Linked DNA regions of Notamacropus eugenii. Each later gene encodes a partner of the first gene's protein in a complex. Links are inferred from orthologs where the notes say so. Each region holds a gene or a part of one and is shown in the gene's direction. Other genes may lie near its edges.

Evidence for each region.
Region 2: the proteins of MUSK (region 1) and DOK7 are in contact, whole or in part, in a crystal structure (PDB 3ML4), measured with the Mus musculus proteins. The link is inferred for Notamacropus eugenii from reciprocal best matches to the Homo sapiens genes MUSK and DOK7. Residues at the interface, in NP_035074.2 of Mus musculus: Leu547, His548, Pro549, Asn550, Pro551, Met552, Tyr553, Gln554, Arg555; in NP_001335203.1 of Mus musculus: Leu154, Ser155, Asp156, Leu157, Arg158, Arg159, Tyr160, Gly161, Gly172, Thr173, Arg174, Ser193, Asp197, Val200, Arg201.

Annotation. Positions count from the first base shown.
Region 1 is NC_092872.1:97,448,613-97,455,913, reverse strand, and holds the start of MUSK (muscle, skeletal receptor tyrosine-protein kinase), read left to right. Parts: upstream 1-4,280; 5' UTR 4,281-4,500; coding exon 4,501-4,579; intron 4,580-7,301.
Region 2 is NC_092877.1:53,964,965-53,971,919, forward strand, and holds the start of DOK7 (protein Dok-7), read left to right. Parts: upstream 1-3,943; 5' UTR 3,944-4,100; coding exon 4,101-4,154; intron 4,155-4,298; coding exon 4,299-4,344; intron 4,345-5,024; exon of another isoform or gene 5,025-5,172; intron 5,173-6,955. UniProt on the Homo sapiens protein: Probable muscle-intrinsic activator of MUSK that plays an essential role in neuromuscular synaptogenesis. Acts in aneural activation of MUSK and subsequent acetylcholine receptor (AchR) clustering in myotubes. Induces autophosphorylation of MUSK.

The DNA of each region.
Region 1 (7,301 bases):
TTTGTCAAGAAAACCCCAAATGGGGTCATGAAGAATTGGAACAGGACCAAAGTGACTAAACAATGACAAGCCAACACTGTGGTGGTGAGCAACCATTATCAACATTAGTATTAATGCAAGTTGGCTTTCTTGCAAAATTCCTTTTATTGAGAAAAGTCTCATTTGAGTTTCAAGGAAAAATGAAACAATATTTTGTAAGAGAAATATAGATGTGAAACACTACAGAGATAGTGTATTGTGTATAATTATATATAATATATTATATATAATAGTATAATTATAATTTCATCCACAGAGTGTGTCTCAGGGTAATACATCATCATTCGCAAGCTTCTGGATAATGCTTACAGAGGTGGCCCAAAAGTTGCAAATGGACCCAGATGTTCATCACAACTCATACACTCTGCCAGAGAGAATCTCATCCTGCAGTCATCAGAAATGTACCTGCATACCTGATGATTTTTTTAAGCAAGAAGTTTACATAAACAACAAGATGTTTCCCTTGAAAGGAAAAATATGGTGATTTATTCCTACTAAAAGACAGAGATTTCCCTGGGTATGGGTAACAGCTACCCATAAAAATGTTATAAAATCATCCTTGGCTTTACAATGATACATTAAGATTATTCAAACAAGATATGCAATGATTTGTGTGTGTGTGTGTGTGTGTGTGTGTTGTTGTTGTTGTAAAAGAGTGACAGCAAAACAACTTACTGGAATATAAAGATAAAAGTTGAATAAGCATGCCGCTAATAAAAAAAAAAAAAGATTTCCACAGAACATTTGTTTTCTCCCATTTCATGTTGATCAAAATATTGACCATTTGATTAAAAAAAAACATATTCTGCCTGTGTACATCCACAAGTTATTTTATATACAATAAAGGAATGGGGGAAAGGAATTAAAAAAAGAGAGAAAAACATAGTGCAATGTCAGTCAGACTGTGGATGAACCAAATCTTGGTTTTCCAATTGTTAATGTGTTGTTTTCCTCGCTGGCATTGTGCAGTAGAGGTCCAGGTCTTCTTTTTAGGAAATGCCTCCTGTCTGTTGTTGAAATACATGAATTGCATCTTCAGCCTCCAATTCCAACTTTGCTTGGCTGCCAGTCTGCCCGAGGGACAAACCTTGTTGTTCGCAATAGGCTTTCATTAGTTTTACTAAGTGGCTGTGCCTCTTAACCTTAAATTGAACTGCCACCTTCAAATGAATGTGGCTCTTGACTCCTTCCTGAGGCTTTTTGTAAGTCAGAGCAAGTTGGGGGGGGGGGGTTCTCTTCAGCTGCACCAGGATGGTCTTCACCAAGGAAATTGGGGGGAAAGTAGCAGTGTCAGGAGCAGGAGCAGAAATGTACCTGTATACATTATTACAGACCCTTGTTTCTTTTTCTTGTTGTTATTCTTGAAGAACACTGAATTTAGGTGTCTGATGATGGAAGCTTGAACCTTAACTTTGTTGTGTAATAATTTTGTGACCCTGGGAGAGTCACTTCATTTCTCTGGGCCTCAGTTTCCATCATTTATAACTTGAGGGAATTGGATTGCATCATCTACAAGGTCCTTTCTAGGTCTAAGCTCCATGAGGTCTATAACTGGTATAGTAATTCTGAGATTTAATAGACACAAAACAAACCAAAAAACAGGCTAGTCCTTTGAATATAGTCAGTCAACTGTCAGATTGTGTCATCACTAAAGCCTGTCTAACTTGCTGCTCTCCAGGGGACTTGCCTTTGAGATGACTGAGTCACCTTAACACAATGATAAAAGCCTACAGAGTAAGACCTTAATGGATGAAACAGAGAAAACAAAGTGTTAAATTGCATATACAGAGAATATTTTATAATTTGATGATATATCATTACATTAAGATGTCATGTAATTATGTCATTATATAATATCATGACATTATATCAGGATATAATCATGTCAGATTATGAGGAATAATACCATTATCTCTGTCCTAAAATAAAGCATTAATTGTGTTGTACAGAAAAAAAGTACAAAAGGAAGACTCCAAGGTCTAAAGGGGCCTTAAAGAGGTATTGACAAGCTTCTTGAGGTCAGGGGCTAGTTCTGTATATATTTGTTTCATGGTCCCCAGCACAGTGGGAATATAATAAACACTTTGCATTATGTATTAACACATAATTTGTTTTCAATAAACATTTGTTGAATGAATGAGTTGGAACTGTAGCTGTCCCTTGAGGGATGAGTAGAGTATAGATTGGTGAAGAGGAAAATAAAACTACGCATGATGGGGTTGGGGGAGGGGGGAGGGAGGAAATAATGACACTGTCCTGGCTAGAACAAGTAGTATGAGGAAGTAATGGGAAATAAAACAGATAGTAAATTCAGGTCCACAATTCCTTTATCAGTCAATTAATCAGTCAATTAGCAAATAAGTGCTTACTATTGTAGTGCCAATGCAATATTCACAGTGCCTCTGTTGTCTGTAAATATCTCTGCATGGTTCTGAATTGCAAAATACCAGACTCTCCACATGGAAGACAGAACCAAAACATTTATTCAGACACCAGAAAGCCAAATCCATCACAGTAACAAAAATCCATACACAATAACAATGCAGAAGACAATACCATCCCCAAGCCCTCCCTCTGTTAGGCTTCCCATAAACCAGCTCCATTAGACAAATCACAAACAAGCTCTCTCGTTCACACTAGCCAGCTGCCTACTCGCCTGCATCTTTCCTAGCTCTGACTAGACTGACCAACTTCCTCTCAGCTCTGTTCTAGCTCTGCCTCTCCCTATTCTACCCCTTCAGCAAACTTCTCCCACCCCAAGCTCCCTATGACTCAGACTTCCACATGACTCAGGCAGATCACATGGATCTATTGATGAATGGGAAAGATCTCCCCATTTAAATTGTGATTTATAACTATGTGTTAGGCACTGTGATAAGGGCTGGGGCTTGGTGGAGCTCACTTTCTAATGTGGGATACAAGATGCAAACAATTATACAAAGATACACATCGTGTAAAAGGGACATCATCTAGAAGGAAGGCATGAGCAGAATGTGTGTGGTATAGGTAGGGGGGAGTAAACCAGGAAAAATCCCTTGCAGAAGGTGAGAATTGAGTTGAATCTTAAAGGAAGCCAGGAGGCAGAGGTTCTCAATGTCCTCAGATCTAAAATGATGGGACCTGAGGTCCCTCAGAGTTCTAAAGCTAAGATCCTATGAAATGATCTAGGAAGTTGCACCTCTTGACCAACAAATGGAACTTTATTCTTTGCCTTTGTCTCCAAAGGCATACATAGCTTAAGAGAAGCAAAAATAAAGATCTGACAGGGGTACCCTCCTAGCCAGCTACATTAACTCTGTTGACTAATTTATTGAAAAATGTCACAGCCAGATGACTCTCAAATTCTTATCTAAAGAAGGTAGAAATCAGTGAAGTTAGGAAAAGGCAAATATACAACAAAGGTGAGAAAGATGGCATAATTTCAAAAGATAGATAAAAAGATGATGGGAATGAATCTGGGAATTCAGGGGAAAGCCAAACTCAGACTGGGAGATAGAAAGATAAATTGAGAAATAGTAGCCTCATTCATGAATTTTCAATTAAGGAAAGGTTAAGCTGATAATAGCAAACTGATAAAGGGAGGGGATTAAAATCAAAATTGGAGGACATTCAAAGGATAGACATGAAGTGGCAAAGTAGGACAAGTAAAAAGTTGGGAAAAGTAGAGGGGAAGAAAAAGAGGAAATAGAGAGGTGAAGCAAAATGAAAGGAGAAGAAGAAGTATTGAGAAAGAAAAAAAGGAAGAGAAAGGTGTAGGGAAATTATTTGAGACAATAAAGAAGGAGCTAGGAGGGCTGGCTTGGCTGTGTGCTTGTGTGGTTTGTCCTTCATTTTGAAAGAGGACTATGACATCAGGAAGATGGTGCCATGACTTGCAAATAAATTGGATTTAAGTGAGGAGGACTATTGGGTTGGTGAGGGGGCTGAGAGGAGCCTTGAGTAAGAGCTGGGAAGAGAGAAATCAAAAGGAAAATATGTAGTGAGAATAAGATAGAAGGTGAGGATAATTGCAGGAAGAGATGGGAGAGACTGCAAACTCCTCAGATGAAGAGTCATGCAGTCTTGATACATTTGTATAAGCTGATTTGAAAGATCAGTAAAAAAAAAAAAATGTACCATTCAGGTTAAGTTATTGTTTGGGAAAGGCATCTGGCATCGTATCCCTGACATTTCTTAAAAAGGATTCTAAAGGGATTTGCATTCTCTTGTTTCTGCAGACCCACGTTTGCATACTGCCCTAAGTGGATGCCCACCAGCTGGCCGTGTCCATCACACAGCCAAGTCTGAGAATTCCTGATTATACTTAGCCCCTGCGGAGCTTGGAGCACAGACAGTCCGTAGGAGGAGACCCTTGGTAACAAACCAAGCTTTAAAATGTAACCTGGGGGGGAGGCATTTTCCTATTTTTGCTGGGACACAGATTTCTTCTCCTTCTCCCCCCCTCCATCTTGGATTATAACCATGAGAGAGCCAGTCAACATTCCACTTGTACACATCCTTGCCCTGGCTGCCTTCAGCCTGGCCGAGAAGCTTCCAAAAGGTTGGTTTGAACGAACTCATGTTCTTGCATAGTCACTGTCTGTGGGGGTGTATGGTGTGTGTGTGTGTGTGTGTGTGTGTGTCTGTGTGTGTGTGTCTGTGTCTGTGTGGGTCTGTGTGTGTGTGTCTGTGTCTGTGTGTGTGTATCACAGCTGCAGCTCATTAACACTCTTTGTGGGTGTTCAGTCATTCTTGGGGACTGAGTAGGCAGGAGGGCAGGGGTAAAGGGAAGGGAGGGAAATTGTATAAATAAGCATACCTGGTCCCTTTGCATTTGGCTGGCATGGTGTCTTTTTTCCCCAACAAAAAGTCTGCTCACAGAAACCTACCTCTCTTCGATTGCCAGGGAAAGTTGAAGCAGGTAGACCCCTAACTGCTGGAACATTTTCCTGATTGTATGAGCCAAACTTCAGTGTGGTTGAAAGTGGCAAGAGAGGAGTTTTGGGTTATTTTTATATATGGTTAACCACAGTATATGGATAGAGTGCTGGCTGGACTCAAAAGCCAGGAAGACCCTGGTTTGAATCCTGCCTCAAGTACTTACCAGTTTTGGGACGCTAGAAAAATCACCTAACACCTCTAAACCTCAGTTTGTCATCTGTAAAAAGAGGTGGTTGAATTCTTTTACTTCTAAGGCCTCTTTCTGAGAAGGGAAGAAGCATATATTATGTGCCTATTATGTGCCAGGTGTCGTAAGACTTTACAAATACCATTGCTCTCTAAACGAATCCTAAGAGTCTGAGGAGCCCTTTCCTTAAGCACTCATCTCCTTTTTTTCTAATTCAAAAATTAATTTTCCCCCCAATTTAATTGTATTTTCAAATAGGGCTGCAGCTTGTGAAACAGAAGTAAACCGTAATTAATATAAAACATTAAGAGCTAAAAAAAATAAAAACTCAGTTAAGAATACCTTTTGAGACAGGATTTGGCTGAGAAGGAGATGGCCCAAGTTTTTTTCTGGGCCATTCAAATGCACCGGAAATAACACCACCTCAGAGGGGAGAGGAAGGCAACTTAAGAAACTGATGAGCACCTGTTACCCTAGGAGGAATGTCCGAGGCCTGATCATTCTTGGCTAGTGATTTGTTAGGCTGGGGAAAGGGCTGGTTAGTATGCTGTGAAGTGCCAGCGAACCCTATTATAGCTTCTGATTTACAAAGAAAAAAAGACAGGGCATTCTAAAACCATTTAATTTAGTGGTAGAAACAGGTATTCTGAGATGGAGAGAGCTTTCACAAAGATTGGGCAAGAGTGAATGAATACTATAAGCCAGATAAAAGAGAAAAGGACGTAATTATGAAGTTTGTTAGAAACACAAAGTGAAAGGAATCTATTTTTTAAAAGATTGGCTTTCTCTATTTTTTTCTTTCTTAAAACCAAAAAAAAAAAAATCATATTTCTGATTTGAAAAAGCCTATTTTATAGCACCCAAGTAACATGGAAGGTAAATTAGAAGTTGAAGGACCTCAGCTCAGATCCTGACTGCCACTTACTACTTTGTGACCTTTGGGTAAGTCACTCTAGGACTCAGTTTCCTAATCTGAAAAAATGATGTGATTGATTTGGATGACCATTAATGCAGGAGTTCTTAGCCTTTTTGTGTGTCATTGACCTCTCTAGTAGTCTGATGAAACCTAGGTGCCCCTTCTCAGAATAGTTTTTAATTTATAAAATGAATAAGATTGCAAAAGAAGCTAATTATGTTGAAATGCGGATGTAATATTCCCCCCATTCAAGTTCAGAAACTGTTTCAAATCTGTCTATACACTTATGGACCCCAAGTTAAGAACCCCTTCTCTGAGGTCTTTAAACTATTGTTCTCTTGATTCTGATATCTCTAGAGAAAGGGCAGAGGAGCCTGAGAAAGTGCCTGTACTTTAATAGTGTTGCAGAAATGTGGGAGCTGCAAGATTAGGGATGTAAACTAGACATAATAGAGAGGCAACCTCTAGAATTTGGTCCATCTTCTCAGCATAAGTCATATGTTCATCATACTATTTTTAGGAAATCCTAGATTTTAAAATGTAAACTCCTCAGGTAGACACAAATTAAAAAACGCTTCTGCTGTGGCTAATAATAAGTAGAAAAAATTTGTATTGACCTTGGTTCATTTTAATACTTCCTGAATACACCATGGATGTCCAATGCCATGTGTATAGTGTTGAAGATAGGCCTATGTCTTATTTGTGCTATTTTAAATCGTGGAGTTATCTAAAAAACTTCCTGATTATATCTTAGTTTACATGTCACACACAGGATATCCAGTTATAACACAGGTCAGGAGAGGCCATGTTTATTTCTTTTGACTTTATAGACCAGTATTTAGTTAAAGCTTTCTGTGTGGACAATCACTAATTTTAAATTCCAGAAAGTTTTGATGTATAGTTTATAAATTTCAAAGATTGGTATCTTCCTATAAAAACAAATTACATTCCTTTCAGAATTTTCCCAAAGGATGGGAAGAAAATGGCGGCACAGTTGAATTGCTGATTGGACTGCCATTGTACAGCATTCTAATTGCATCAAAATATCTAAAGGATATCCTGGTTTTTTTTTTAACTGAAATGACTTTTTGGGATGAATTTTGGAAGATTTCTAAAATATAATTATAAAAGTATTTGCAAACCATGAAGTACTATATAAATGTGAGTATGTATTTTAAATCTAAATTTATCTGGATTTTTCATACTTTTCACATCAAGTTGCTCCTCTGTCCAAAGCAC
Region 2 (6,955 bases), on another chromosome or scaffold:
CCCCCCTGCTTAAATTACTTTTAAATGATTAAAGAACCCCAAAACACAAATTTCACCTTTTACCCAAAGTAAAAGTATTCCAACAGTATGCACTTCTGCAATCAGCGAAAGCCAGTTTCCAGCTGACCTCTGAACCATATGCTTGACTTTTCTTTCTTGGACTTACTGGTTTCTGGAGCCCCAGAATATTTTATCAGCCAATTATTGTATTTCTTTTCCTTCTCACCTTCCTCCAACAGCTCCACAATCTTATTGTTTCCCCTTGATAATCTTATAAAAATAACCCCAAACCCACTTTTTTCTACCTACTCTGAAACAGACTATGCTGTTTATAGACCCTCGAGTTCTCACAGCTTTGCCTCTGGTGTCTTATCTGAATCTCCTCGGCCAGTCCAGAGGCAAGTGAGTTGTTAATGTCTGTCCTCTTTGTGGGAGTTCTATGGAGACAGACACAGTTATGAGCATGACAGTATCTGAAAGAGGAGGTGACTGGCCTCCTAGCTAAAAGATGAATGAACTTCCTCCTGGCTTCTCCTTCCCCAACATTCTCTTGTCCTTGAGTGGGTGCCAGTCTGACTAACTATTCTTAATCTCACTGTGTCCTGAGAAATCCATTAAAATTAAAAGATAAATAATGATGATAATATTTGACACTTATATTCTGCTTTATAGTCTGGAAAAGTACTTACTGTCCATTCTCTCATGTGATAAAGTTTAAATGCCTTAACTTAAGGGGACATTCACAGATCTCTACGACTTAGGAACAAGCTATATTCAATTCAATCCATAAGATTGTAGACATTAGGGCTGGGAAAGAGCTGAAACCATCTTGATCAATTCTCTCATTTTACAGATGAGGAAACTAAAGCCCAGAAAAGTTAAGTTACCCAAGACCAAAGAGGTAATAAGTAGCCAGGTCTTGACTCCAGATCAAATGGTCTTTCCAGAGTATAACAGTGCTTTAGCAATTCAATTCAATAATTTAATTCAATGTAATAGGTTAAGAAAGCCAGGGATCACATCAGTGAGTTGTTCCCAGGCAACTTAATGAAATTATGTGTGTGTTCATCCTTCATTGCCGAAGAAGACCATGCCATCAGAGATATGATGACATGATTTGCACTTGACTTTGTTTTTTGAGTGAGGGAGGGCTGTGCAGGTCACCAGCCTCACTTCTCCTCCAGAGTCATCTGGATCCAGTGATCAGATATTCATTAGAATGACTGGAGATGACCCAAGATGAGGCAATTGGGGTTAAGTGACTTGCCCAAGGTCATACAGCTAGTGAGTGTCAAGTGTCTGAGGTGAGATTTGAACTCAGGTCCTCCTGACTCCTGCACTGGGGCTCTATCCACTGCACCACCTAGCTGCCCCTAATGAAATTATAGGCCTTTGATGGAAGAGTTCACCTCTCATGGAGGTAGACAAACATCCTAGTCCTTTGCTGGGGTGGGGAAAAAAGTGCAGATGAGTCCTCTTGTTGTTCCCAAGTGACTGAGGCAGCTTCCAAGATGATGGGCTGATTGAGGTCCTGGATGTGGTTGAAGGGCATGCCTGTCTCTGGTCTATAAGAGGGAAATGGTCCATCCCTTTATATCCTTTTCCTTTAATGGAGTGGATTTTCTCTCTCTTGGACTTCCAGATCAGATGCAGCAAGGGAGAGCAAGGCAGGTGAGGGAAGGTAGATGGAGAAGACAATGACTTGCAGGAAAAGCTCAGTTGGTCAGTGGTCCCCGTAGGTCTGACAGGGCAACTCTTTCCTGACTGCCTTCTTTAGTTTGGTTTTCCTTTTCTGACTATAGGTCAGAGGCTTGTGATTCTGAAAATAAGTGTATCCAGCCCGGGAGGTTACCCAGTATGTTGTACTGAGTTTGAGAGTTCTTAAGTTCTAGAGTCAGGCCCTTGGTAGTGCACAGTTTGAAGAAGGAAGAAGACAGTCCTGAAACTATCCTAAAGCCATATCATGACAGGACAAGAGATCTGGATTTAGCTAACCCTCCATGATATTGGCCTTAGTTACACAGTGCAGGTCCAAAGTGAACCTGCTTGTTCAGTAGTCATACAAAGAGCTTTTACCTTCCTGGGAAGTTTAATGAGTATAATGGGTTATTTGAGTGTTGTATGTTTCTTATTTATGGTAATAAACACCCAAATCCTTTGTATCTTATATATTTCCTATGGTAGGTAAAATAAAAACTATCTCATACTTGATATCAATATTGTATACTGAGTACTTGTTTTGGAGCTGGGGACCCTGTTGCACACATTTGGGGACACCTAAACACTCACCATACCACAAGCCAGGGAGAAATAACTCTTGGTTGAGCCCCAAGGGTAAAAGTTGGTTTATGTGAGCTGAGTTCCCTAAAGACTTGTGAGGCCTAGAGTCCCATGGATGACATCCACAATTATTAAGTGCCTACTATTGGATTGACTGTTAAGAGAAAGGAGACTTCTGCATGTTTCTAATGACTACCTACATATGTACAAGAAGAGGCATGAGGGTTATCAGGATAGGAAAAGGAAGTGGGTTGGTGATATATTGGGATTGAAGGAAGATAGGTGGACAGTCTGTGTGTTGCACTGGTACCCACACAATATTTTAAAACACCAACAAGAGATCTCTAGTACATTGGGTAGATCCTTAGGTCTGTAGGAAAACATGGATTTGAACTACACTGTTTAATCTGTAAGGGTTTACAGATTATTTTTTCCCTCAACATCCTTGTGAGGTACACAGTATAAGTATTTTAACCCCCATTATATAGATAAGGAAGCTGAAACTCAAAAGTAATTAGTTCAGGGTCCCCCAGCAAAGACTGGGTTAGAGATGAGATTCAAACCCAGGTTTCTCTAGACTCCAAATCCAGTATTCTTTCAACTACCTCACACTATTTTGGCACTGTCCTTCTGGTGCAAGAAGAGCAAATACCAAGAGTTCATAGGATTATAGACTAATAGCTGAAAGGAACTTTAGCTACCTGTTCCTCTCTGTTCCTCAGTTCCCTTATATGTAAAATGAGGGGCTTGGAACAGAGAGGAACAGGTAGGGGCAGTAAATTATAAAAAGATCATTGGGCTTTGGAGTGAGAGGCTTCAGGTGTACATTATGCCTTTGACACTAACTCCTGTATGACTTCCAAGCAAATAATTTTAACCTCTGTGTCTCTTTTTCCTCCTCTTTAAAATAGATGATTTCACTAGATGGTCTCCAAGGTAGTCTTCTTTGTCTGAGCAAAGTGAGTTCTTCCTGGAACATCCATTTTGGAGAACGTCCCAGACCAGCCATCCTTTATTCTTTAGATGACACCATGTTTCATCTTCCTTCCCCCTCCATCCAGGCTGCTGTTTTCCCACCGTTGAGTTCTTTCCAGAATCTCTGTTTTGGGGGAAGGACCCAGATTTGCCTTAATGCTTAGCACAGTTTGTTGCATATACCAAGGGCTAAATAAATGCTCATTGGCGTAAAGATCTTTCTTGCTGTTCTCACGTGTACAGGCATGTGTACCTACACCTGCTGGTACACGCTACTATCATATCCAGCGTCTTCCTGGTAGTTTTCAGCACATTGCTATCTTTTGAATTTCCTAAGGCCTATCGACCCTCAGGTCGGTCCATTTTTCTCAAGTTAGCAGCTGAGGATGGGGAGAAAAGGGAGGTCTTAACTGGAGGGGCAGCATACATTCATGGAGAAGCCGACTGGTGTGAAAGAACATCTGGATTTGGATCTGGGAGCTGAGAAGCTCCGCAATTGTGGTCACACCTCAGGCTCCTCATCTGTAAAATGGGGACAGTAAGGGCTGTACCCCATACCTCCCGATGCTCTGGGGGTGAAACGCCAGGGACACGTGACGAGCCCTGTTCTTTCTGGCCTCTCCCACGCTTCGCTCTCCTCTCCGCCCGCCCCCCCGCCCCCTGGCCTGTCAAACAGTTCCCTCTCCTGTCAGCTCCTTCCCTCCTCCCTGTCCCTGCCCAGGGCCCTAATAAAGCTATTTTGAAAGTGACCCAGTCGGTCTGGCTGCCCGGGCGCCCGGAGGGGCAGAGCTCGGGAAGGGAGAGGCCGGAGCTGAGGGCGCAGCTGTTCGGAACCATGACTGAAGATGACGGATTCGGTGGTGGTGGAGGGTCAGGTCAAATTGAGAGATGGAAAAAAGGTGAGGGGCGCCTCAGACCTCCCCCTGCCATCAGGAGACCCCGCTCCCCTCCACTGGGGCCGCGGGGGCGGGGGCGGGACGGGGACGGGAGCCCCCCGCGCCCAGCCCAGCCCGTAACCCTGTGCTTTTCTGTCTCCCCCGCAGTGGAAAACTAGGTGGCTGGTGCTGCGCAAGCCGTCCCCGGTAGCAGGTAAGGCGGCGGGGCGCGGGGAGGGGGCGCGCGGCCTGCGGACTTCTGGGAAGGGGAGCGTAGCGGTGGGGGGGCGGTTCTGGAGAGGGGCGCGTGCGAGCGGGCACGTGACCAAGGGAAGGTGGGGAGGGGAGCCTCAGGTGAGGGGCGCAAGGCCACGTCCAGGTGACTAGGTGGGGTGAGGGGAGGGCTTCTGGGGAGGAGCTCGTGGCGAAGGGCGCGGTGTGGGGGGTGCTCCTGGGGAGGGGGCGCTTCTAGGGGAGGGGACGCTCCTGGGGAGGGGGCGCTTCTAGTGAAGGGGGCTTGACTTGGGAACCTGCGGCAGCGAGGGTGCACGTGGTGCTCTGTGGGGGACGGCTGGAGGCTCGAGATTTGGGGTCTGGGCTTGTTGGGAAGGGGTACGCGGTCTGACGGAAGAGGGGGCGCTCACTGTTCAGGACGAACTAGCCTGCCACGAGGGGTCTCCCAGGAGCCCCATTGCTGGGTTCCGACCGGGCAGGGCTCCCAAGAGGCTGTCCCGAGCTGCAGGGAACGATTGCTTCACCTGACCTTCTCTCTCTGGCGGCGGGGCGGGGCGGCACAAACCGACACTTTGATGGGGGTCGGAGGGGGTCCTGCAGCGGAGCAGTCGACCCAGACTCCCCCTTCTCCCAGCCCAACCTTAGCGAGAAGCGCCTTACCTATAGTGGCCCCCTTGGAATTGAATTCTGTGCCCTCCCCAGGCCCTGGTTTCTTTGCCCCGCATTATCTGCGAGCCTCTTAGTGCGAGCCCTGGGCCGCCCGAAATAGAAAGAGGATATTGAAGCGCACCCAAAGTGTAACAGAGAGGAGGGGAAGGTAACAGGATACGGGGGAGGAGGGCGCTTCAGGCCGCACCCCCACAGAAAGGCTAGGAGCCGCCTTTCCAGCCTCTGGACTCTCTGCTTCTCTCCCAATTGCTTGGCGGGGGTGGGGCGGGACACCTTGGCTCCTACCGGGGTCTTTTTAGGGAATGAGTCATAAATGAAGTGGGACACCGGGATCTTGAGTTATATCGATTTGTCCCCCACCCTTAGCCCATCACAGAATACCAGAACTGGAAGAGAACTTGACAACATCATAGTTCAGGTATATAAAGAGCATTATGGCTTAAAAACCGCTTACACGAATATATGTTAATATACGTCATCTCCTTTAATGTAGTGTCAGAAATGGAAGGCATTTTGAAGACCATGTAGCCCAATCGTCTCATTTTACAGATGGGGAAGCAGATCTGGAGTGGAAGTCTTTTGTGTAGCCTTAGATAGGAAGGAAACTCAGAAAGAACAGGTGCTGGGCCTCAGAAGTAGCTGCATTTCTGAACTGAATTGTGCAGCTGTAGGATGCATTCTTGTGAAGTTTTTCGTTCCTGTCATCTTGCCAGTTTGAATTGTCGAGCTGAATTATTGCCAAGCAATTAAAAGGAAAAAAAAAAAGATTTAGAAATGGGCACATCATAAGATCTAGGCATCCCTGTATCTCTAGTCTGGTTTATTAGTTTGATGAACTCCTTAAAAAAACCTTTATACCGTCCAGCCTTTTCCCTCCTGAGTCTCTATTTTCATAGCACTTAAGGCAGTTTCATAGAGTGACTAACCTTCTGATTCTTCCCCTTTCCTTACTTGAAGTGAGTTGAATATTTTCTGCAAAGGTGGGTTATTTTTGTTTTTTTTCCCCCTATTCTCTGTGCTTGGTTGGGGAAGAGGAGAAGTGAAATTCTATTTTCTTTAGAAAATTGTTAGTCAACATGCATTAGCTTTATCCATTTCAAGACCTCATTGAGCTGGTTTCCTGGATGAATTTGGTCTTTCAGTTCTTTGGTTTCAATACTGTGGGCACACTTGTGCGGTCTTTAAGCATTGTTAGATTTGCAGCTGTTTGAGGAAACAGGTGCCTCCGTACCATCATGCATGCCGGAGTTGTGTGAGTGTGTGTGTGTGTGTGTGTGTGTGTGTGTTGCCAGTGAATGAGCATGATAGGATGTTCTCTTTTTGGTCTAGGAAGTGATAGAAGTGCAGCTTCTTTTTATCCGTATTTGTAGGTGTTTTTGATATCAGTGAACAGAAGTTAGCAGCGCAGTTCTGGTTTTTTTACGCCCTAAGACCTAAAATAGGAGATATTAAGGACTCAGTGTCAGGACCCGTGGGTTTGAATGCTGGCGTTTATATTTGAAGTGGGTGATGCTGGGGTTGGGGGAGATCACTTCCTGTATCTGAGCCCTTAGAATGGGGGCTCCTTGAAGGTAGAGACAATAGCTTTGCCTTTCTTTGTACCTCCAAAGTTTAGCACAGTGACTAGCACCTGGTAAGCATTTAATAATCAACCAATAAATATGTATTAAGTGCCTACTATGTGCCCAGTTTTATGGGCTGTCTAGTCTGCTGGATACTGAAGTTTTCCTATATAGATAAGGCTTATTTGAGGAAAGCTTTTAGTTTGGAATATTCTACCAAATCAACCGGGCAGAAATTAAAAACAGGTGGGAGATGGAATGAGGCAAATTTACTTTTCACAAAAGGAAAAAAACCTGTTACAATGGGAGCTATCCAAAAAGTCAAACAGGGTGCCATAGCCCTCAATTCCCGCTCCCTGG